Linked DNA regions of Ovis aries. The main gene of each other region encodes a partner of the protein of the gene in region 3 in a complex. Links are inferred from orthologs where the notes say so. Each region holds a gene or a part of one and is shown on either strand. Other genes may lie near its edges.

Region 1 (5,924 bases), on a different chromosome or scaffold from region 3:
GCGGGAAGGGTGTTTCTGGCTGGAGAGCGCCTGGGGCCACAGAGGGCTGGCCCGGCGGGGGTGCCCCCCGGCCCTGCCTTTGCCATGGAAGAGACCGGAGTCCGGACCTAGGACACAGCCGAGGGCCCCGCTGTGCCGGGCGTCCACACTGCAGCGAGGCCGCGGCTCTGAAGAGCTCTCTGGCCTGGCAGACTCAGCCCCAGCCCGGCACCCTCTCCTTTGCATCCTGTGGGCTCGGGTAGGCACGTAGCCCCAGAGAGGAGCCGGGAGTCGCGGGCACACCGCTCGGCTTGCCCTTCCTTGAGTCCTCTGAAGGCTCAGCCTCCTGTCTGACCAGGGGGGCTGAGGGTCGCCCCTCAGAGGGCTGTGCATCTGGACACGCGCCTGACACGTAAGAAACGCTCAGTGACACTTGCTAAGGAAAGGCAGAGCACTGGAGCCTACAAATAAACATTGATTCAGTTTAATAACTATTTATTCAGTCTGATAAGACAGAAGTTCCCACAAAAAGGTTCTCCCGGCCCCTCAAATGCTTCCCCCAGTGCCAACCACAATGCTTGAAAATTCTCCAGTGAGAGTTTGTTCCAAGAAGCACCAGCTTCTCCCATCCCTCGACAAGGGTGTTGTAATTTCAGAGATCCCGACGCATTAAGTAGTCTGCACACCAGCAACAGAGTTTCGCTCCGCTGGTTAAGTTCTTTCCGCCCACAGGTGCAGAGAGGAGCACGCTGAAGACACGGGACTTGGCTACTGGAGCATCCACACAGGCGGGCACCCTGGGGTCGCCCGGCGTCTGCTTCCTCACACCGCCTGGGGACTACGGCCCAGAGAGGGGCGTCCGCATGCAGCAAGTTGGGGGTACAGTCAGAACCTGAAGCCAGGCCCCTGGCCCTGCCCATCAGGGTTCACTGGGCACTCATTTGATGAGCGGGGAGCACCACTCTGGGTGAGAGGCAGAGGCATGCACATCAAAATGATTCCGAGAGAGGACATTTGAGGCCTGTGCTTTCACAGAAGGCATGTGTCTGCACCTTGGGAGCCCCAGCAGAGACAGTCAATTCCAGGCTGAATCCACGCCTGCTTCCTGGAGGAGACAGAGATCCTGGAAGTGGGCCGCAAGGAGTGAGCAGGGAGGAGCCAGGAGAGGAGGTCCTAGGCTGCGTAAACAACATCCACCCTGGGATTCAGGGGCCAGGTGGATGTGTGGTGAGCAGCTCCAGACTGCTGGTAAGCCATAAGGGAAAGGGAAGGAGGCAGAGACATGCCCCAGAGAGTACTCAGGGAGAAGAAGAGAGAGGGAGAGGGGTGGAAAGACCAGCTGCTCCACCTCGCACTTTGGCAGAAAGCAGCCTCCCCCAGTCCCGGGGCTTCCCTTCCCTTCTACCAACACAGGTCATCTAAGACGGAACCACGTCCCCTGCCCCCAGCTCCTTACTTCCAGAGGAGGTCTGTACTGCACTTTCCCATAAACAACTACTGGTGACAGAGACCTGGGGGGAGGCCGTGTCGGCACTCCCTGGATTCTGGCTCTGTCAGGGAACGAGCTGGAGGGGTCACCCATGTTCCAGATGGTAACACTGAGACGCAGCCTGGGAGACGCCAGTCAGGGGCACAGCCGAGGTTAACACAGAGGCAAGGGGTCGGTGAGACGGGCTTGGGGGCTGGAAACTGGGGTCCTGTGCTTGTCCCAGCCCTTTCCTGGTTCCCTAGCGGTGCTGTTTCTCATCGGCTTCGGTCTTCCCTGAGGGGTCACAGGGCCAGGCCGAGACAGGGCTATTGGCGTCACTGGGTGCAGGCTTGCTTTCCCACAGCCATCCTTCTTCTAGCCCCCCAGCTCCACGTCAGAAACCTGGTCACCCTTCACCCACTTAGCTCAGTCCCGTTGAGGGATTTATTACCGGCTGCCCCGCCATCTGTCCCGCAGTAATAAATCAGGGCAGAGCAGAATCGCAGCCATCCCGAGTGTGCATGTATAAAAGGAGAGGGTGCTTCAGGGGACCCCAGAGCGAGCTGGGCACCCAGGCGAACTGTGGGCCAGTGCAGCAAGATGCCTCTCTGGGGACTCCTGCTGGCGCTCTGGGGCTGCAGCACCTTCAGTCTCCCTGCAGACACCGCCGCCTTCAGACGGTAACTGGGAGAAAGGGTGGGGGGAGGAGGGATCCTCGCTTTCCTGACACGGGTTGGGGGGTGGTTCAAACAAGGGATGTCATCCCGTCCTCGCAAGCAGCCGGGCAGGGAGAGTTTCGCCCCATTCAGAGAGGTCAGGTGACTTGCCCGATGTCACACAGCCAGCAGAAGCACTAGCTGGGCCTTTTGATCCTGGCCCAGAGTTTTCAGTTCCTGCACAGATCACCATGCTAGGTGCTTTGGGGGGACTCAGAGATGACTGAGACATGTTCTCTGCCCCTCGGGAGCTCACAGACTAATTACTAAGAAGGGTGTGGTATTGTTAACTCTGCCAGGGAAGCAGGGTAATGTAGTGGTTAAACGCAAAGCTTCCAGAGCTGAATAGTCCTGGTTTAAATTCTGTTCCACTAGCAGTGCCAACTAACTCTGGAACCGTGGGCAAGCCCCTGAACCTGGCCAGGTCCAAGTTTGCCACTTTTACCTTTCAATATTCATTTATTTGGCTACACTGCCTGCTTGGATCTTCATGGCAGCAGGCAGGATCTTTTAGTTGTGGTGTGAGAACACTTAGTTGTAGCACGTGGCATCTAGTTCCCTGACTGGGGATTGAACACAGGCCCCCAGCATTGGGAGCATGGAGTCTTGGCCACTGGACCATCAGGGAAGTTCCAGTTTACCATTTTTAAAACAGGGATAATAAAATACCTATTTTACAGAGCTGCTCTGAGGAGTGAATAAGATATTGCCTGTAAATGCCTCAGCCTGGTGCAGGCATGCTGTAAAAACCCAGCTGTTACCATCTCCAGGGGGATTATCACGAATATTAAAAGAAAAGTTTAAGGTAGCCCAAAGGAGGAGGATAAAGACCCAACATCCATATTTGGCGACAGGCCCTGAGGGAACCCTGATGGCTCAGCTGGTAAAGAATCTGCCTGCAATGCGGGAGACCTGGGTTCGATCCCTGGGTTGGGAAGATCCCCTGGAGAAGGGAAAGGCCTGGAGAATTTCATGGACTGTATAGTCCATGGGGTTGCAGAGAGTTGGACATGACTGAGTGGCTTTCAGTTTCACTTTCTTCCCTGAGGGAACAAGGCTTCTTCAAGGCTGCAGGAGCGGGGAGGCAGGTGGGAGAGGGCCTTCCAGAGAAAGGGTTTCACGCTGGGGAAGCAGATGGGACCAGAAGACCTGAAGTTAAGGGGCAGGCTTTCGTAACAGTGGTAGTTGCTAGGCCTGTAAAATGCTGAGGACTTCATAGGATTGCTTCCTGTGTCTCAGCTCAAATCATCCTCCCAACAGTCCCATTTTATAGCTGGGGACACTGAGGTTCAGGGAGGTCCGATGTAGGAGGCTCAGCCTGGGCACACGCTGCACCACGTTTCCGAAGCCTCTTTCCTCTGCTCCAGGGAGAGTAGCTGCTGGGCTGGGGGCGTGGTGAGGGGGAGAGGCACTTCCCAGTGGCAGTATGTGTCTGAGCGTGGCCCCCACCCCCAGGATAAAGGGAGGGAAAGGAAAAAAACATTCTCCCTTGTCTCTTCAGAACGAGAAGAATGAAATTAGACCAGGGTGAAGAGGGAGTCAGGCTTTCCAAATGTACTTAGAGGAGTTTTGCTAACTGACATGAGCCTCAACATCCCCATGCAAGGCTTTGCGGCGCTCTGAAGGGCCGATTCCAGTCTCAAGGTGCAGTCATTGCCTTTTACACACAGACACCTTTTACAACATGTACTGAGCACCGGGCAACTCAATCTGCAAAGTGCGTACTCTCGGTGGTAGGTACTACCATTAAGTCCATTGTTACAGAGACCCAGAGGAGGTCAGGTAAGTTGCTCAGAGTCAGGCAGGTAGGAGGGGATTCGAGCACATCACCACGACCACTACACCCTCATCACAGAAGGCACGAGGCTGTGCAGCGCTGGTTACGGACACCCGGGGAAAACGGGGCAGGTGCCCAGGCAAAGGGGAGGCCAGCGTGGGGGCATGGGGGCTTCCAGGAGGCGGGGTGCACCCTGGCCTTAGAGGGCTGGAAAATGCTGGAAAGTGCTGGCGTGGGGGGGAGGGGGAGGGAAAGGGGAGAAGGAAGGGATTCTCTAAAAGGAGAGGGTAAAAGGAGCCCTCTCTGGGGTCTAGCCTTCTCTGTCCCTCCATTTTCCCATCTGTAAAATGAAAATAGTAAAGATACTCACCTCAGGTGATGGCTACGAATCAAATAGATCATAGTCGTGAAAATACTTTGTGGAACAATAGACCATGTTATGAATATGGCAAGTCATTTCTGTTAAAATATTAACACCAACAAGCATGAAAGTTGCATTCACGTTTGTGGGCAAAATGCATGGGGCCTGAGAAGGAAAGGCTAGTGCAAGTACAGAAGAAGGAATAGGGACCCTCCAGACTTTGGGCTGCAAGCCCGGGACCCCCAACAACGGCTCAGGCTGTGGCACACAGCCTTCACGTCGGAGTCCGGGGACCCCTCTGTGGGAGATGGGCCAGTCAGGGCACCTCGAATCCCTGCTGCACCTACTCCTGAGTCGCCTCATCCCTCACCCCGGAGTGAGGACAGCCAGCCTGCAGGATGGGAACGAGGTCACGTGGTGAGGGTGGCCTGCACCGCGCTGGGCGCCCGCACGGTGGCAGCTCAGGGCGACGTGAGTTTCCCAGTTCTCTTTAACTCCGCCTCCCGAAGGTGACAGGAGAGCACTGGGACAAGAAGCGGAGGGCCTGGGACCTGGGCTCAGGAAGACGCTTCTTCCCGAGGGCAGGCTGCACAGGCCCTGTGGAGACGCCTGCATTCCCCGACCCCGCCCAGTCCAGGCCCAGGGCCCTGGCCGGGTGCTGCCTGCTGCTTCCTGGAGCCCCCGCCCCGGCCGTGCGGGCATGTGCTGCCACCTGCAGGCCCCGCGTGGCACTGCCTCACCCATCCAGCCGTGAGCCGGCATGCCCAACCTTCACCTCCTTAGGGGGACGTCAGTGCTGTTTCCTCCTCCGTCTTCCCATCCGCTGGAGCCCCTCGAAGGCGGTGATGGTCTTTTTATCTCTAGCATCCAGCAAGGTGCAGGCACAGAGTAGGTGTCCAACCTGTGCTTGTGGAGTGAATGAATGAACAAATGACCTTAAAATGGTGAGCAAAATCAAGCAACAGGAGCGAGTTAGCTGAGGATCATTTAATACCAGCACAGGTAACCACGGAGTCTCCTTCAGAGACTTAACAGCTCAAGAGTGATCCCTAGGTGCCTGGGCTAAGGTTGGGGTAGTTTTATTAGAAGCTTCTAGAACTCTACCATTACTGTGGGAGGGGACAGAGCTCTTCTACTTTTTATTACTCCATCATGGGCCAGGATCTTCCTCAAGAAGATGCCCTCAGTCCGGGAAAGCCTGAAGGAGCGAGGCGTGGACATGGCCCAGCTGGGTGCTGAGTGGAGCCAGCTCACCAAGACTCTCTCCTTTGGCAACCGCACCTCCCCTGTGGTCCTCACCAACTACCTGGACGTGAGTGCCCAGCTTGGTCCCTTGCCCACTTCACTCTCTCCTTCTTCTCTTGGGCCTAAGGCATTTTTGCCCTTTCTGAGCACCTCACGAAATTCCCATTTCACAGCTGGAAAGACTGAGGCACAGAGGACCGGAAGGAGCCCAGAGGTGGGGTCAGGTTTGGAACTCAGGAATCCAGGCCCTGGGCCCCCAAGTACAGGTGTTGCAGGGGCAGGGGTTCAGCGAAGCATCAGGATTTCTGTGGGGCATGGGGCACCTCCCTGCTTCACTGGCAGTACATTTAATTTGCCCTCTGGTCTTACTGAGCCTCC
Region 2 (5,836 bases), on a different chromosome or scaffold from region 3:
CTTCTTCACCTACCCCTTCTTTATCTCCATGGGAAAGAGCCAAGGCTAGGGGTGGCTATGACTTCAGTGAGTGGACTGTTGCATGTAATTCTGTGTGTGTGTGTGTGTGTGTGTGTGTGTGTGTGTGCATGTGAGCACACGCATATGTTGGAGCAGGTGGAGGGGACAATGTGGTGGAGGGCTGGACCCTGGTTCAGGGACACCAGAGGACTTCCTGGGTGGCCTTAGGGAAGTCAGTGAATCCATCAGCCTCCGTTTCCCCATATGTACTCTAGATTAAATTATATCCTAACTCAGGTTTTTTGTAGGAATTAAATGAGATCCTCCATGTCAAGCTGTTAGCATAGAACTTCAGGAAGTGCTCTTATTAGCTGTCCTGATGAAAATGCAGCTTGGCTGGGGGTTTCCCAGGAGTACTGGGATCTTTCCTTGGACTGAGCTGCCCACTGGTGGCGATGGACGGCACTTCCTCCTCTATCCGTGTACATGTCAACCTCTCCCGAGTGTCAGGGAAGACTTTACACCTGTTTTAAAGACAATAAAAATTGGGGCACAGGGAAGAAGAAGGGGGATTTTCTAGGGACATAGACTAATTTATTGAGTTCCTCTCTCTCATGATAATCACCATCAGTGCCAACAGCACTGTTGTGCCAAACAGGGCCTTGGGCATCTTCTGTGAATGAGAAACTGGTGTGGGTAGTGGACAACCGCTGCTCTGGGCCTAGACACAGGTGTGGCAAAAACTGACAAGGAGGGTGTGTGGATTTCAGGGTAGACCCTCTCCTCCACACTTCTCTGCACAGCACTAGGGGGCGTCAACACTGTCAACACTTCCCTCAAGTTAACAACTTCCCTCCAGTAAAGACCGGGATTTTTAGCCGGGTTTTCTGACTGAGGAAGTCAAGACTCACAGAGGTAAAGAGACTCATCGAAGGACACACAGCTACCAGGCAGTGGAGGCCCGCCTCAACCTTAGATGGCCTGGCTCTGCTCCATTTCTGATTTGGGACCCTGAAAATGTTCCCCACTTGGCCCAGGACAAGTGCTAGGCGCTTCCACGTGCCATTCCCCGACCCATCCCATCCTCTGGTGAGTTTCTCCAGACATGCAGGCTCGGCTCTGCCCTGGGCAGCCTTTTGGGGTTGCGGTCGGCTTTCTCATCCATCCGGCACCTGGCAAGAACCCCGAAACTGCCAGGCCCCTCGCCCCTTGTTCAGAAGAAACTGAGACGCGAAGATAAAAATTTAACTGCTGCCCTAGCCAGGCCCATGGCGAATCCGAGAGGGTACAGGCAGCCCTTGCGTTTCTCCACACCCCCCGCCTGCCCCGCCCCGACCCGCACGGTGGGACCATCTCAGCCCCGGCTGGAGCCCGCTCGACTGTGGCCTCCACTCCCTAAACGGAGGGCTTTGCAGGCTCGTCACTATCCATGGTCCTGGGTTCCTATACCCAAAACTGAAGTCGGGGGACTCAGAAAAACTCCAAAGGAGAGCGGGGGTCAGGACTGTGTTGGGGTTGTCGCCGGTGCTCCGTTCGTAACAGCCACGCTGCCCCGCCTGGTTTGGGGTACCTTCTGTGCGCCGTCTGTTCGGACTAGGCCTGGGCCAGGCTGAACATGGAGGTTTCTGACCCCCACGCGTGTACCGCCTGCGGACAAAAGGCCAAGGCCGCAGGGGCCATTCCGCTCGCCACCCTGTAGCGCCTGGGGGCGGGGAGCCGGTTTGCCGGCTCAGAGCTCCTATTGGCTTGAGGCGATGCCCGTCTGGGCCCCGAAGCTCGGCAATTGGCTGGTGGAGGCGGAGTTGGCGGAGCCCCAATGAATGGGGGAGCCGGAAGCAGGAAGTGAGTGTGCGATCGGAGCAGCTGCTGCAGGTGAGGCGCGGCGACCGGGTTTTGGGGTCACCATGTGTCATCCTCGGGTGACAGGGAGCGTCTGGGCCGAGCTCAAGATCACTCCTTTTCTGCCCCCTCTTCCAAATTCATCGCGGCCCCGAAGCCAAGGATCGCTCCGGACAGCAAAGGGTTAACGTCCCTTTCGGAACCCAGGGGCTTGTGCCATTTGGGAGCAGCTTTGGGAGTGGCGGGGGTGGTAGGAAACTCTTTCAGAGTAAGAGAGGGCGTTGTGAATACTCCGGGTTGGGAGACACCCAGGTCCTAACCAGGCAGCAAGACTGTCGATAAGCTGCTTGGCGTCTTTAAGCCTCAGTCTCCCTATCTGTAAAATGAGTTTTCTCTCGGCTCTGAGCTTCTGCAGCTAGGGAGGGTCCCCTGGCTGAGCACAGGGAGAGGCCAGGGGGATAAGAGTGGGACAGATCCTGCCAGCAGTGAGAACTGAAGAGTACAGGGAAAATCTTGTACTGCTGTGGGTACCTTCTGTCAATCATGCTGACCTTGTGACCTCATCTAATTTGCATAGCCACCCAGTGAGGTTGGGGTTATTATCAGAGGCTGTCTTCTAGAGGTAGAAAAGTAAAACTGACTTGATATTTGGAGTCTGGGGCTGAGCCAGTCTTGGAACCTGGGTCTTCCAGCTGGGACTCTGTCCTTGTGAACACAGTGGTGGGCAGAATCGAAGAACATGCAGGATAATTCTTAAGGGGAGGCTAGGAGATCAGAGAGGGAAGAGGGGTGACCACGGAGAGGGGCCTGGGAGCCCAGAGATGCAGAAGCTTGCTTTTGACCCCTCCCTTCTGTTATTAGGCAAAGCACCCCACCTCCCTGGCCCTGGTTTCTCCATCTGTAATACTGCTGCTGCTGCTAAGTCGCTTCAGTCGTGTCCGACTCTGTGCGACCCCAGAGACAGCAGCCCACTGGGCTCCCCCATTGCTGGGATTCTCCAGGCAAGAACACTGGAGTGGGTTGCCATGTCCTTCTCTAATGCATGAAAGTGAAAAGTGAAAGTGAAGTCACTCAGTCGTGTCCGACTCATAGTGACCCTATGGACTGCAGCCCACCAGGCTCCGCTGTCCATGGGATTTTCCAGGCAAGAGTACTGGAGTGGGGTGCCATTGCCCTTTCCAATCTGTAATACTAGGTAGTTGGATTCAGTTTTTAAGTTTGGGAGGCCACAGGCCGAATATTGCCTGCCAGAATATTGTGTAATCTTCTGGGGTGAGTCACCTAACCATCTCTGAGTCTCACTTGGCATATCTGGTGCATGGATGCAATGGTATTCCCTTCCTCATTCAGACCGTGAGTGTGTAGACTCAGATGTACATGCCATTGGTGTGGGATAAATGATGCTTGTGATCACGGTGATGGTTCTCAGCAGGGCCCATGGCGGACACCCAGTACATTCTCCCCAATGACATCGGCGTGTCAAGCCTGGACTGCCGCGAGGCCTTCCGCCTGCTCTCGTCCACAGAGCGTCTCTATGCCCACTACCTGTCACGGGCTGCTTGGTACGGAGGCTTGGCAGTGCTGCTGCAGACCTCCCCTGAGGCCCCCTACATCTATGCCCTGCTCAGCCGCCTCTTCCGTGCCCAGGATCCCGACCAGCTGCGCCAGCATGCCCTGGCAGAAGGCCTTACTGAAGAGGAATATCAGGTTAGTTCTCTCAGGCCAACCTGCATTCTGGGTGTGAGGGGCCAGGAAGCAGGGGTCCAATGGACTCTCTGTCTCTCTCTGGATTAGATCAAAGGTTTTAAACACAGGGACATCCCCTCCTGGAGTCTCAGTCTTCTCATCTACAAAATATGCCTGAGGGTCATCTGTACCTCTTAGGGTGGTGGCCCCCTGATGAGATAACTGATGGCTGTTATGATGATCACAAGAGCTGTGGAGTAGAGGAAACAGCTGTGGAGGTTCGGAGACGGTAGAGGAATGAGTTCAGTGTAGGAATTTGGAGGTCTGAGTTCTGGGCCAGATCTTCCTCCACCATGTTGCATGTCCCTGGGCAGAATGTTCTGCCTGTCCTTTTGTTTTTATCTGGTCTGTGGGTCTATTGGCCAAGGAATACATGAATGCATTCTTAATGCTTTACAGCATTGCAGAAAGGCACAAAATAAAACACAAAGATCATTTTTTCTCAATGCCTAGCCAAAGGTAACCACCAAAGATGGTGGGGTGTATAGCCTTTTCAGTCCTCTGTCTATACTGGATACCTGTACAAGTAGAGATGCACATGTGTTACTTGCTTCTTTTCTCTTTCACGTATGAGATCACATGCTATAGATTCTTATGAGTTCTGCTTTTTTTCACTGAACACTATATCTTGGAGAACTTCCATGGGGTACATAGAAATCCACCTCGTTCTCTTTTATTGACTGTGAAGCATTCCATAGCTTTGTACGCTGTTATCAGTTTAATCCTTTGTATATTGATGGACATTTAGGTTGTTTGTGATTCTTACAAACAAGACAAATAAGCATCCTTAAGCATGTGTGTGACTAGGATCTATTTTTAGAAGCAGAATTGCTGGGTCAAAGGCTCTGTACATTGACAGTTGACTAGTGTTGTTAAATCATTTTCTGAAAAAGCTTCTCCAAGAATGTATGAGGATATAGTTTTTCTATATGTAAAATAAAGGGATTAGATTGCTTATCTTTGTGCTGAGGCCCAGGCTATTTCTTCTACTTTTTGTTTGAACTTTGAGTAATCACATCCCATCTCTAGGCCTTGATTTCCTCATTAAAAGAGAGAATAGCCGGGAGAGTTAATGGAAAAGTGCTACCAAAGTATTCACTATTTGCAGTGGGATTGTTTTGTTTGGAAGTAGCAGAAACCCACCTCAAATTGGCTTAAATGAGAGGGAAAAAAAAATCATGACTCCCAGTTTCTGGTCTGGCATGTTGGGAGCTTAGATGTTGTCCATCTCTTCTAACAAGTAAAAAGCTGAATAAATTGAAAAACCAACAACTCTTCTTAGATCCTTAAGAGAAGTGAGGTTCCAGAGCAAACTGCAGCTCTCAAAATTGGAGAAACAGACAGGCAGGTACAGAGAGTCACAACTTACCAGAGCAAAAACTCATGAACAGAAACCTCCATGGAACCAGTGCTGAGGTAGGAAAATTGGAACTGTAACTGATGAATTGCTAAAGGCTCAGTGTGGACAATTCTGACAGTTGAAAACTCCAGGGGGAACTGGACATAAGGGGGCCCCCACAGTTTGGGGGGTTTTACCTTCAGGAGCTTCACCTGGTTCTCACAGTGAATTTCAGAGAAAAAAAATCCCTCTTGCTTCTGGCAGGGGGAGGTGAGAAGGAGCCATTTAAAAAATATGCTAGAGCATTCTGTTCTTAACATGATCTTCCCTCAGGAGAAACTATTTAACCAGAAGCAAACCTGTTAGGGTTTTATTGGAGCCTAACTGATCTGGAAGAAGGGAAACACACAACTCTAGACAGCTCTGACCATCCGGTCCCATCTAAAAGGAGTGGGAATATGGGGCTGAGAAGAGCATGTCAAGTTCAAAGTCCAGCAGCAAAGGCTCACTAAAATCATGGGACTCTAGAACATTCCCCCTGCCACCATTCCTTACCATCCCACTACTAAAGGCCTGTTTATGACGGTTCCTTTTACCCAGCACATCATGTCTGGCTATCAAGAAAAAAACTACAAAACATTCTTAAAGGCAGAAAACACAGCTTGAAGAGACAGAGCAAGTATCAGAACCAGACTCAGATACGGCAGGGATGTAGGACTCATCAGACCAGGAGTTAAAACAACTCTGACTAATATTCTAAGGGCTCTAATGGATAAAGTAGACAGCATGTAAGAATAGATGGGCAGTTTGGGATTAACATATATACAGTACTATATATAAAGTAAGTAAATAACAAGGACATACTATACAGCACAGGAAACGATACTCAGCATCTTATAATAACCATAATGG
Region 3 (6,025 bases):
TTCCTGCCTCCATAAGCCTCCTCTGTGTTTCGTCTGGTAGAATACAACTCAAGCGCTTCCTGAATCTGTGTCTCTCTGCGATAGGCCTCAGTTTGGCTCAAATAGAACAGTTGTCTATTCTTATTATAGATTATTTATTGATTATTTCTGTTAACAAAGTCCTGACCCCTAGTGCCTCAAACTGCGACTGTATTTGGAGACAGTCTTTAAAGAGGTAATTTAGGTTTAATGAGGCCTTTAGGGTGGGCATTAATCCGGTCTGACCAGTGTCCCTATAAGAGATCAGGACACAGGGAGAACCGCATGAAAGCATTAGGGGCAGACGGCCTGGAGACCACCTGCAAGCCCAGGAAAGACGCCTCGGAAGAAACCAACCCTGTCAACTCCCAGCCTCCAGAATCAAGAGAATACAGATTTCTTCTGTGTAAGACTCCAGTCTGTGGCTCTGCAGTGGCAGCCTATAACACCAATATGCCCACCTGTTCAAGGCTATAAATTTTCCCCAAAGAACAAAATGTGAGGCAGCAAGGGTCTTTGTGGGGCTCCAAGCCCTAGGGTAGGTGGTAAACCATTTTGGAATACAAGACCAACTCACACAGAGGTTTCTCCTGTGTTACAAATTAGCCTGACAAGAAAATAATCCAGCTGTGTGGGAAATGTTCCCTTATTTCCCCAGCCAAGTTGTGTAATTTAGAATGGAGATCTCGTATTTGTTTGGCTCTTTCCCATAGATTATCCAACCTAACGTGTCACGTGAGCTAAGATTGTTCCACTTCTTTGCAGACACAGAAAGGGGAGTTCTGGGATACGGAGAAACATCCCCAAGCTCATGTTACAGCAAGGAGGTAACAGAGATCCGATTCCAACCTACTTCACTCTCACAGGTTATGCTCCACCCGAGTGCTCACAGGACTCACCCAGAAAGCCTGAGAAACTATTGCAATCTGAGTCTCACTTCCAGAGATGCTAATTAAGTGACCCTGGGAAGGGTCTGAGAAAGGGTTTTTAGTCTCCCGGTAGCCCTAACCTGCAGCTGGAATTAAGCACCATAGACTCAACCTGGAGAAGCCCAGACATCCCTGCCTGTCTCAACCCCCTCCCCAGCGCGCACCCGCCCTGCAGAGTAGATCCCCGAGGGGCTCCGAGTCGTCTGTGCCTGAGCCCATTCATCAGCAGCCAGATTTCACCGGTCTGTGCCCAGTTCTCCCAGGAGGCGCAGACGTGCCTCCGCAGTGTAGAAGCTTTCCCTGCCTCACCTGGGGCAGGTGAGGTGGGACAGTGCTCAGCACCTCTGCCTCAGCCTCACTTCTAGCCAAGAGAATGGGCGTGGGCTGAGCTCCTGGGAGAAAAGGCTCCTGGGTCGGCTCTGCTGGCTTTTTCCGCGATGGCTCTCACTGAGAGAATAAATATTCCTTTATGGGTTCATTGCGCTCTAGCGGCTTGCTTCTATATGACACCGCCTTCATTTTGAGGGAAGGCGAGTGCTGTACTACCAGGTAGCCGCCCAGCCTTCCCATTCCCCCCTCACTCTCCCCTGCCCTCCCAGAGCTGGCCTGGGCCTCCTTGGAGCTATGGTCCATCACCACCAACTCCAGGTCGCCTCGAAGCCTAGCTGGCTCCTGCACACCCACGCGTGCCTGGGCAGGTGCGGCGACGGCAGCCGCTCGGCGAGGGCTGACATGCGCTGCGCACCCTCTCTGCTCTAAGTGTCAAAATGCCAAGGGAACTCTGACCTCTGACCTTAACTCCCACCTACTCTCCTTCCAAGCCGTTTGACTCCACCCACTGTTCCCACAAGGAGTTACACAACACGGAAAAAAAGGACAGAAACTTCTCTCTTTATAGGCCTTCCTGTCAGGCAGGCCTAAGTTGCCCATTGACACCTCTCCAGGGGAAACTGGCGGGGCCTGAGTGTGGAGAATCCTTCAGGAACAGGCCTAAGGGTCCTGGGCTGGGGCCGTGCAGGTGATTGCAGCCGCCTCCCAGCTTCCTTCAGGCGCAGGCCCCGTTTCAGGCGATTTACCAGGTAGAACAGAGGCTGTTGTTTGCTCTCGGTTGTGGTCTGTCTCACTGGCCTGGGTGCCAAGTCAGCGCACAGCTTCCCAGCCTGACAGCGGTGCCTTGGGTTTTCTCTTCCACCTGCCTACACCTGGCCTCCCCCTTGACCAGCCTCTCCTGCACGGCTCCCTACATCTCAGGGCTTGTGCTCAAGGCTGAAGAGGATAGTAGCAAACACAAGTGCAAGGCTGCTCACAGCTTCAGTGACTTCAGGGGCCAAGTCTGAACCCTCACAGCAGCCTACCTTCTTGTCTGGGCCTCCCCACCAGATTTCACCCTTCGACTGGCCCTCCACGCCTGGCACTCTGAACTCACTCCCCCTGCCCTCCTCTCCTCTCCCAGTGGTGCGGCTGCTAAGTCACTTCAGTCGTGTCCGATTCTGTGCGACCCCACAGACGGCAGCCCACCAGGCTCTGCCGTCCCTGGGATTCTCCAGGCAAGAGCCCTGGAGTGGGTGCCATTTCCTTCTCCAATGCAGGAAAGTGAAAAGTGAAAGAAATCGTTCAGTCGTGTCCGACTCTGTGCGACCCCATAGACAGCAGCCCACCAGGCTCCTCCGTCCCTGGGATGCTCCAGGCAAGAGCCCTGGAGCGGCGCCAGTGCCTCCCCGCCCGTGGCGCTGGTCCCCTGCAGCTCTGGTCACTGCGTCACTCGTGTGTGTCTTATGTCCAGCGTGTATCGCCGTCTCCTCCCACACGGATGCAAATCCTGTAGGACTGAGGTTCTTGCTCTGTTTTGCTTACTGATGTGTCCCACATTCCCAAAAATACAAGTGGTGGCTAAAGGATGCTGTCCTGCAGATGAAGAGACAGGTTTGGAGACTTGCTCAAGTTCACACAGCTGGTAAGAGACAGATCTAGTGTTCGAGCCCAGAGCCCAGGACTCCATACTCCATACACTTAGGCACTGATCTATACTGCTTTCGAACAAGACTGTGTCTTTTTAGTTTATTCTCAAGTTTAGAAAGCACTATCAGGTATTAGCACTCTTAATTTATAGCATAGTTCCCGAGAAAGGGAGACCAGGTATTGCTGCTGGTTCCATTTTATAGACAAGCAAACCGAGGCTCAGGATACAGAGTGACGAGCCTGACTGCTCAGACCCGGGCCTTGAGCCCAGGACTAGAGCCGGCACTGCCTCCGAAGAGCGGCAGGGAAGTAGACCACTGCTCCCCTGAGCCCTGTGGGGACACAGCCCCAGGCTCACTGAGCCTGCCCTTCTCCCCAGCTCCACTGCCTGCACAAGCCTTGCTCGTCCTCGGGCTGGAGGAGGACCCAGGGGACTCCTTCTGCGCCAGCCCCCTAGGACCCAGCCCTGCTCAGAGGGAGCGGAGGACCCCGCCAGCCTGCCTGCTGCTGAAAGGAGCAGTTCCTCTGGTGAGACCCATGATGCGCTCAGGGGAGGGCCAGCCTGTGCCTCGGGGCGCTCGGGGGAGGGACAGCCTGTGCCTCGGGGAGAGGCACCCTCCGAGTCTGGTAATGCCACCTGCAGCCCGGGTCAGCGCTGTCCCCTGGTTCCTGGGTGCAGTTTAGCCACAGGCTTCCAGCAGCTCTCCCCCATACCTGTCCACCAGAGCGCCCAGATTTCTCCTACCAGCAAACAAGGCAGCTGTGTGAAGAGAGCTGGGGAGGGTGTGCATGGAGAGGGCCCCCACTCACCTTCCGCTCTTGTCCTCAAGACAGGGTGGCTTCTTCCTCTGGCTGGGCCACCGAGGCCCTATTTATGTCTGAGGGGTGGGGATGGAGCGGTTCCCAGACCAGCCTGTGCTCAGGCCAGGGGGAGGGTGTTTACATGACTTGGCCAGGCCGTGGGGGTGGGGGCCTCAGCAGCCTCCCAACTAGAGGGACAAATGCCAGGCCAGGCGACTCTCAGGATGGGCCTCCTTCCAGGAATCCAGGGGGATCGATGCACTGTTGCTGCTGACAGTGAACTGGTGCACAGTCAAGTTACACATTTACTGAAGTTTGCTCGGCCTGGGGCTGCTGTTATGGGACACGGGAGAATCCCATGTGGGTTGTGATGCATCTCTGCCCCTGGGTGTGATGGCCTGAGGTCAGCCACCCAAGCCTTGAGACTGAGCCCCCTTGGGGAGTGATTCTGAGAGGCCCCAAGAACATGTGGGCTCATGGGTCCAGCGGGAAGCAGAAAGCCCTGTTCAGGTAGCCTGGGGGTCACCTGACCCCATGGCCTTGAGTGGCTCAGTGGTTGTACAAATAGCCACTGGGTCCCCACTCCATGGAGAGGCCTCTGATGGAGACACACACAACCCAGCAAAGCACATTCTAGAGAGCAGTGATTCATCTGGGGACACCACTAGACACCAACAGCAGGGAGACGGGAAGGTGCTCACAAGAGCTTTTAGATTCTGAGACAGTTTAGTCTGTTAGAGCTGGAGAAGCTTTCAAAGTTCTCTCTGTCATTTGAGTCACATCTTGAAGGATAAATAAGTTGGTTCTTTGAGGTTCATTTCCGTTCAGTCGCTCAGTCGTGTCCGACTCTTCGGGACCCCATGAATCGCAGCACGCCAGGCCTCCATGTCCATCGCCAACTCCCGGAGTTCACTCAAACTCACGTCCATCAAGTCAGTGATGCCATCCAGCCATCTCATCCTCGGTCGTCCCCTTCTCCTCCTGCCCCCAATCCCTCCCAGCATCAGAGTCTTTTCCAATGAGTCAACTCTTCGCATGAGGTGGCCAAAGTACTGGAGTTTCAGCTTCAGCATCATTCCCTCCAAAGAAATCCCAGGGTTGATCTCCTTCAGAATGGACTGGTTGGACCTCCTTGCAGTCCAAGGGACTCTCAAGAGTCTTCTCCAACACCACAGTTCAAAAGCATCAATTCTTCGGTGCTCAGCCTTATTCACAGTCCAACTCTCACATCCATACATGACCACAGGAAAAACCATAGCCTTGACTAGACGGACCTTAGTCGGCAAAGTAATGTCTCTGCTTTTGAATATGCTATCTAGGTTGGTCATAACTTTTCTTCCAAGGAGTAAGCGTCTTTTAATTTCATGGCTGCAGTCACCATCTGCAGTGATTTTGGAGCCCCCAAAATAAAAGTCTGACACGGTTTCCACTGTTTCCCCATCTATTTCCCATGAAGTGATGGGACCGGATGCCATGATCTTCGTTTTCTGAATGATCTTCGTTTCTCTGAGGTTCATTCATTCATTTCATTTCAGTCGCTCAGTCACGTCAGACTCAAGAAGGGCTTTCCAGAGGTAGAGGCTGATAAGGCAGCAACAGAGATGGGAAAGCATGGGGCTTGTCTAGGGGCCGCCAGCAGGCCCGGGGCTGAGAGGGAGCTGCTCCTGCTTCTGGGCTTCCCCGCCCTCCCCAGTGGTGAGAGAGGACCCCAGGGAAATAGAGCTTCTGCACAGGATGCCAGGCTGGGTCTGGGCCGCGTAAAGTGAGTGGGGGAAGGGAGGACGCTGATTAGTGCCAGACACCGCGCGGGAGGGGAGAGGCGCTGCTGCGGAAGGGACTGAAGACGCCTCGGCGAGGCGCGGCACGTGATGCCTGACTTCTGCTGTAAGAAATGTTCTCTGAAAGCGATACTGTCGTGAGGAAAGATGGAGGGGGCCCGGGCACCACAGCGCCCAGTTCAGGCTCCTGAGGGAATGAGGAAACCAATAACCCTGAGAGGGACGCAGGAGGCACGCGAGCTCTAGCGAAGGGCGTGCAAAGCTGAGTTTGGACGGTATCCTCTCGAGGTGCCTAGTGGAACTCGGTGCTGAATGCTCGCTTAGATGGTTCCGATGCTCAAGAGGGAGATCCAGGCTGGGGCCACAGATGTGGAAGGCAAAGGCACCATCATGCAACCCGAGGCCTGTGGGAGGAGGTGTTTTACCCAGGGAGAGTCAGAGCGAGGAGAGGAGAGGGGAGGGGAGGGGAAAACCTAGTGAGAGAGGGAATGGGGAGGAGTCGGCCACCACAGGGGGCACCCAGGGGGCAGCGACAGACAC
Region 4 (5,857 bases), on a different chromosome or scaffold from region 3:
GGGGGAAGATGATCCAAGCAGAGAGAATTGCACGTGCAAAGGTCCTGTGGTAGATGGCCTGGATGAAGGCCAGATTGGCTAGGGTTCCACAGCAGAGGAGAGTGTGGTGACAATGAGGTCAGGCAGTCAGCCAGCTGACAGCACTTGACTTGTGGGTATCATTAGAAGATTTGGTCTGAATTCTGAGAGCAAAAGGACACTTTTAAGCAGTGGTGCAAAATGATTCAATTTATGTAGCAAACTGGTTTGGTGGTGTTGTTCAGTCAATAAGTCGTGTCTGACTCTTTGCAACCCCATGGACTGCAGCACATGAGGCTTCCCTGTACTTCGCCATCTCCTGGAGCCTGCTCAAACTCATGTCCATTGAGTCAGTGATGCCATCCAACCATCTCCAGCTCTGTCATTCCCTTCTCCTCCTGTCTTCAGTCTTTCCTGGCATCAGGGTCTTTTTTCAATGAGTTGGCTCTTTGCATCAGGTGGCCAAAGTAGTGGAGCTTCAGCTTCAGCATCAGTCCTTCCAATGAATATTCAGGGTTTGAGGAGCCCAGATGTTAGCAAGGAGTCCCTGAGGGTCTAAAGTGCCCACATAAACAGTAAGAATGGCTTTGACTCAGGACACGATGAGACTGGGGGGCAGGGTGAGTTGAATGTTGGGGTGGGGATCAGGCAGTGTTGAAGTCTGAGAAACTGGGCTGGTGGATGGGGGGCGGTGACAATGAACGTCATATTCCTGTAAGAACATATTATATTGAGTATGATAAGTAATATCTTCGTTTTTCCCAGGGGTAGAATGGCTGACTTCTGGGGAAAAAGGACAAAGGACTTTCAGGTTCTACTATAATTTGTGTGCTCGGTCACTCAGTTATGTCCACCTCTTTGCGACTCCTCAGACTGTAGCCCACCAGGCTCCTCTGTCCATGGGATTTCCCAGGCAGGAATACTGGAGTGGGTTGCCATTTCCTCCTCCAAGGGGTCTTCCTGACCCAGGGTTTGAACTCATGTCTCTTGCATCTCCTGCATTGGCAGGAGGATTCTTTACCACTAAGCCACCTGGGGAGCCCTCTACTATAGTAGATGATGTTTAATATGTTTTCTCACTAAATCTGTTCAACAAACCTGAGAAATAAATTCTAACATGTGTGTATGAAGAAAGGGGTCTCGGAAAGGTAAAATAACCTGCCCAAGGTCATGGCTGGGAAGAGGTTAAGCCTCCACCAGCCTCCTCTCTTTAAAACAAAAAAAGGCAAAACAACTTCATTTCATTCTACTCAGTATGCTGATAATTGAGGGGAAAGTTTTTGGCAAGAAGGGAAAGGGAGGGGACCTGGAAGAACTCCTTGCTCTGGAAGAATGCAAGGGAGGCTGGGGCCATGGCTCTGGGGCACCCCAGGTCCTGTCCAACCACAGAGGTGACCGACTTACTCTTGACCCGAGCCGGAAGCCGACTCTCCCTTTCCCTCTACCTCCCACCTCCTGCCCGGGGAAGTCCTAACCTCCCAGATCTAACCTCCATCCTCCTGTTTCTGTGCCCGCTGTCTCAGCTCGCAGGCGCATCCAAGCCACCTGGCTGCTACCTCTCCCTGCTGGCTGCCTGCCTGCCCTTCAGCCCTTGGTGGGGCTCCCAGGCGGCCTGTAACTGGATACCAGACACCGATTCGTCCCTTCAGGCACCCCCCCGAGCTGCCCTCCATGCACCCTGTTTCTGGATCTGCTCTTGGAAACCTGGATAGTGCGTGTTTCCACTCAGCCCAGTGACCTTCGCCTGTCTGAGCCCTGGTTAATTTTTGCCCAAGTCTTTGCAGGCTCTGGGGCTCCTCCCCTTCGGGGATATAAGCCTGGCCTGAGGCTGCCCTGTTCCCTGCCTGTTCCTGAGCCTCCCCGAGCTCCCTCCCCGTCCTCACCATGGCCAAAGGATTCTACATTTCCAAGGCCCTGGGCATCCTGGCCATTCTCCTGGGTGTGGCGGCCGTGGCCACCATTATCGCTCTGTCTGTGGTGTATGCCCAGGAGAAGAACAAGAATGCCGAGTGTGGCACGAGCCCCACGAGCCCCACGAGCCCCACGGGCCCCACAAGCCCGACAACCACCTCGGCCACCACCGTGGACCAGAGCAAGCCGTGGAACCGATACCGCCTCCCCACAACCCTCTTGCCCGACTCCTATAGGGTGACGCTGAGGCCCTACCTCACTCCCGACGAGAACGGCCTGTATATCTTCACGGGCTCAAGCACCGTCCGCTTCGCCTGCAAGGAGTCCACAGACGTCATCATTATCCACAGCAAGAAGCTCAACTACACCACCACCAACGGGCACTTGGTGGTCCTGAGGGGTGTGGGGGGTGCCCAGGCCCCCGAAATCGACAGGACCGAGCTGGTGCTGCTCACAGAGTATCTGGTGGTGCACCTCAAGAGCCCGCTGGAGGCGGGCAAGATGTACGAGATGGAGACCACCTTTCAGGGGGAGCTGGCCGACGACCTGGCGGGCTTCTACCGCAGCGAGTACATGGACGGCGACGTCAAAAAGTGAGTCAGAGGTGGGCCTGCCGGGTGGGGGCGGATCCTAGACACCGGGGCAGAGCGGGATCCTGGGGGCCAAGGAAGGGCTTGGATTCGGAGCCTTTGAATGTTCCAAAGCCCTTCGCTGGCCCATCGGTCCATCCAAAGTTCCCAAGACAATCAGCCGTTTTCCCCCCACCCCACTCAATCGGGAGTCAGGGATGAACAATGAAAGCCACCTTGGACAGATAAGAGAACAGGCTCTGAGGAGAGAAATGTGCCAGCGTCTCCCGGCTAATACAGGGGGCAGCCAGGACTTTGACCCTGAGTCCAGAAGGAGCTCTGATCACCCATGTCAGCTGGCCTGTCAGCCTCGAGGTGGCCTGGGAGAGGAAAGGGGGGGTGGGGGGTAAGGGGACAGGGATGAGACCAGGCAGCATCTGTGAGCCTGCCCCCCTGCACACCCAGCCACAGCCTGCAGCCCCTACCCTGCACACCCACGGGCACAGACACTCTGTGGGCGCATCCTCTAACCCCCTGCTCTGGGCAGGGTGCTGGCCACCACGCAGATGCAGTCGACAGATGCCCGGAAGTCCTTCCCCTGCTTTGACGAGCCCGCCATGAAGGCCACATTTAACATCACCCTCATCCACCCCAAGGAACTCACAGCCCTGTCCAACATGCCACCCAAAGGTGAGCAGGTCTGGCTGGGGCCTCATGGCCTGGGCCTGGGAAAGCCGACCCTCCCCCCAAGGGCTGGGGTGCAGGGGCAGGGGGTGGGGCACACCTTCACAGGCCTGCATGCTCCCTGCCCAGGTCCCAGTGTCCCACTTGAGGGAGAGCCCAACTGGAACGTCACTGAGTTTGAAACCACGCCTGTAATGTCCACGTACCTCCTGGCCTACATCGTGAGCGAGTTCACAAGTGTGGAGTCACAGGCGCCCAATGGTGTCCAGGTATGAGGCCCAAGCTCACCTCACCTTCCCCAGGGTTGGTCTTGGCCTGGGAGACGTTCCTGTTTATCCTCATCCTGGTCCCAGCCCCTAGGCAGTGTGTGAACCCCAGCTCTGAGGCATCTTGGGCAGGTGTCTTTAGTTCTCTGAGCCTCAGTCTCTGCATCTGGAAAGTGGGACCCTCCTCATTAGCAGGGGCTTCCGCAGTAGCTCAGTGGTAAAGAATTCGCCTGCAGTGCAGGAGCCGTGGGAGGTACAGGTTCAATCCCTAGGTAGGCAAGATCCCCTGGAGAAGGAAATGGCAACCCACTCCAATATTCTTGCCTGGAGAATCCCCATGGACAGAGGAGCCTGGCAGGCTACAGTCCGTGGGGTTGCGGAGAGTCAGACACAACAGAAGCGAATTAGTATGCACCCCTAATAAAGGGAGTTCCCGATTCCTGGGTGCCGGAGAGTCGCCATGGCTCATTCCCCGTAGGCCCCTCCCTACGGCTCTAAGAGAGACACCCCCCACTCCACACACTCCCTGCTGACCAACTTCCGGGTTTAACCTGGTTGGTCACCAGCCTGCCAGACTCTGGGACTTGGTCCACTTGCACCGGACCCAGGAAGAGCCCCTGACCTCTCCTATCCTCTTTGCAGATCCGGATCTGGGCTCGGCCAAAAGCAACTACAGACAGGCATGGCCTTTACGCCCTGAATGTGACAGGTCCCATCCTGAACTTCTTTGCCAATCATTACAATACAGCCTACCCACTCCCCAAATCTGGTGAGTGAGGGGCCTTGCGTTGGGGGAAAGTGAATGGGTCTCCCCCTTCATTCCCGGAAGCCATCCTGCCAACCACCTGGCCTCCCCAGACCAGATTGCCCTGCCCGACTTCAACGCCGGGGCCATGGAGAACTGGGGGCTGGTGACCTACCGGGAGAACGCGCTGCTCTATGACCCTCAGTCTTCCTCCAGCAGCAACAAAGAGCGAGTAGTCACTGTGATTGCTCATGAGCTGGCCCACCAGGTATCCCCCCATCATGGGGAGCCCAGACGAAGAACATGGGGGGCTCCAGGGGGAGATGGCCCAAGTCATGGCTATGTCCTCAGAAGCTGAGAAGGGAGTGGGGATTCCACCTGGCCAGGGGGCTCGGGGAGGAGTCAGGATGAAGTCAGTAAAGCCTCCAGCTCAAGACTGGCGGGTGGGGAGCATTTGGCGAAGGGTAGCCCTGAATGTCGTTAGTGACCGCGAGGTCTGAGTGATTTGCTGGGCTGACCCCTCTCCCCTACAGTGGTTTGGAAACCTGGTGACCCTGGCCTGGTGGAATGACCTGTGGCTGAATGAGGGCTTTGCCTCCTACGTGGAGTACCTGGGAGCTGACTATGCGGAGCCCACCTGGAATCTGGTGAGCCCCCTGCCTGGGGACCTCTGGGGTCTGGGATGGGCGATGACCTGGGTCACCCCTTCCGAGGCCAGTCCCCTGATTGGCTGTTGGGGGTTTGCAGAAAGACCTCATTGTGCCGAATGATGTGTACCGTGTAATGGCTGTGGACGCACTGGTCACCTCTCACCCACTGACCACCCCTGCTGACGAGGTCAACACCCCTGCCCAGATCAGCGAGATGTTCGATACCATCTCCTACAGCAAGGTGCTGCCCAGCCCCCATGCTGGTCCTCAGACAGTCGAGGGGTGGGTGGGGAGGGTGGCAGGGGTTCAGCCCCCCAGGGTTCCGGGAGCACCCGCCCAGCCTGATGGGGACACAGGGTCCCCCGGCTGGCTCGACACAGCCTCTTGAGCTCCCTCCTCTCCACAGGGAGCCTCGGTCATCCGGATGCTCTCGAATTTCCTGACTGAGGACCTGTTCAAGAAGGGCCTGGCGGTGAGGATCCTCAGCCAGTCACTGGGTGGGGGGGCGGGGGGGTTTCCCTGGCCTCACAGAGGCTGTGGCCGAGCCTGGGGCCACAGCTCTGCCCTCACAGAGCTCTGTCTTTCCACAGTCCTACTTGCAGGCCTTTGCCTATCAGAACACCACCTACCTGAACCTCTGGGAGCACCTGCAGATGGTCAGTACCAATCAGCCCTCCTGAAGACGTTCTGTGGGGGTCCTGAGATGCTGAAAGCCCCAGGGCCGGCAGCACCCCCGTGGGAGAGAAGGTGCCCAGCTCCCCTGCTTACCCCACGCCCCAGGCAGGACGTCTGGAGCCTGGCCTGCTCATTGGCTGCTCCTCTGTAAAGTGGGTGCAGCGATGGCTCCTTGAAGGAGGTGTGGCCAGAGCCTGGGTCATGAGCCTGGCAGGTGGCTCCTCCCCTGCACTATAGTGAAGTTTATGAGGGGAGCTGGGGAGCACCCTCCTCTGAGCGTTGAGGAAACGGGCTCTCACGTTTCCCAAGACCAAGCCATCATCTCCCTGGAACTTTGGA

The links. The genes of interacting proteins can lie anywhere in the genome.
Region 1: the proteins of AGT (region 3) and REN are in contact, whole or in part, in a crystal structure (PDB 6I3F), measured with the Homo sapiens proteins. The link is inferred for Ovis aries from reciprocal best matches to the Homo sapiens genes AGT and REN. Residues at the interface, in NP_001369746.2 of Homo sapiens: Asp25, Tyr28, Ile29, His30, Pro31, Phe32, His33, Leu34, Val35, Ile36, His37, Asn38, Glu39, Lys91, Leu92, Ala95, Met96, Met99, Leu100, Phe103, Arg107, Arg148, Ala151, Ile152, Gly154, Gln353, Gln354, Asn355, Asn358, Glu391; in NP_000528.1 of Homo sapiens: Tyr81, Met82, Thr84, Gln85, Val102, Asp104, Gly106, Ser107, Asn109, Ser118, Arg119, Leu120, Tyr121, Thr122, Val125, Tyr126, Leu147, Arg148, Tyr149, Ser150, Pro181, Ala182, Leu183, Pro184, Met186, Leu187, Ala188, Glu189, Phe190, Val193.
Region 2: the proteins of AGT (region 3) and DPP3 are in contact, whole or in part, in a crystal structure (PDB 5E2Q), measured with the Homo sapiens proteins. The link is inferred for Ovis aries from reciprocal best matches to the Homo sapiens genes AGT and DPP3. Residues at the interface, in NP_001369746.2 of Homo sapiens: Asp25, Arg26, Val27, Tyr28, Ile29, His30, Pro31, Phe32; in NP_005691.2 of Homo sapiens: Phe109, Glu316, Tyr318, Glu329, Phe381, Gly385, Ile386, Pro387, Ala388, Gly389, Ile390, Asn391, Ile392, Asn394, Arg399, Val412, Leu413, Val415, Ala416, Phe443, Val447, His450, His455, Glu507, Glu508, Asn545, Arg548, Leu552, Glu555, Phe556.
Region 4: the proteins of AGT (region 3) and ANPEP are in contact, whole or in part, in a crystal structure (PDB 4FYS), measured with the Homo sapiens proteins. The link is inferred for Ovis aries from reciprocal best matches to the Homo sapiens genes AGT and ANPEP. Residues at the interface, in NP_001369746.2 of Homo sapiens: Val27, Tyr28, Ile29, His30, Pro31, Phe32; in NP_001141.2 of Homo sapiens: Gln211, Gln213, Ala351, Gly352, Ala353, Met354, Glu355, Arg381, Val385, His388, Glu389, His392, Glu411, Glu418, Asn438, Arg442, Phe472, Tyr477, Ile864, Phe896, Ser897, Asn900, Gln903, Ala904, Arg907.

What each region holds. Positions count from the first base shown.
Region 1 is NC_056065.1:1,788,877-1,794,800, reverse strand, and holds the start of REN (renin), read left to right. Parts: upstream 1-1,922; 5' UTR 1,923-2,047; coding exon 2,048-2,127; intron 2,128-5,462; coding exon 5,463-5,613; intron 5,614-5,924. UniProt on the Homo sapiens protein: Renin is a highly specific endopeptidase, whose only known function is to generate angiotensin I from angiotensinogen in the plasma, initiating a cascade of reactions that produce an elevation of blood pressure and increased sodium retention by the kidney.
Region 2 is NC_056074.1:40,946,779-40,952,614, forward strand, and holds the start of DPP3 (dipeptidyl peptidase 3), read left to right. Parts: upstream 1-1,834; 5' UTR 1,835-1,872; intron 1,873-3,268; 5' UTR 3,269-3,276; coding exon 3,277-3,546; intron 3,547-5,836. UniProt on the Homo sapiens protein: Cleaves and degrades bioactive peptides, including angiotensin, Leu-enkephalin and Met-enkephalin. Also cleaves Arg-Arg-beta-naphthylamide (in vitro).
Region 3 is NC_056078.1:44,652,791-44,658,815, reverse strand, and holds the start of AGT (angiotensinogen), read right to left. Parts: upstream 3,753-6,025; 5' UTR 3,717-3,752; intron 2,853-3,716; 5' UTR 1-2,852. UniProt on the Homo sapiens protein: Essential component of the renin-angiotensin system (RAS), a potent regulator of blood pressure, body fluid and electrolyte homeostasis.
Region 4 is NC_056071.1:20,527,870-20,533,726, reverse strand, and holds the start of ANPEP (aminopeptidase N), read left to right. Parts: upstream 1-1,855; 5' UTR 1,856-1,902; coding exon 1,903-2,522; intron 2,523-3,045; coding exon 3,046-3,188; intron 3,189-3,311; coding exon 3,312-3,451; intron 3,452-4,090; coding exon 4,091-4,217; intron 4,218-4,306; coding exon 4,307-4,461; intron 4,462-4,726; coding exon 4,727-4,840; intron 4,841-4,940; coding exon 4,941-5,084; intron 5,085-5,249; coding exon 5,250-5,315; intron 5,316-5,433; coding exon 5,434-5,499; intron 5,500-5,857. UniProt on the Homo sapiens protein: Broad specificity aminopeptidase which plays a role in the final digestion of peptides generated from hydrolysis of proteins by gastric and pancreatic proteases.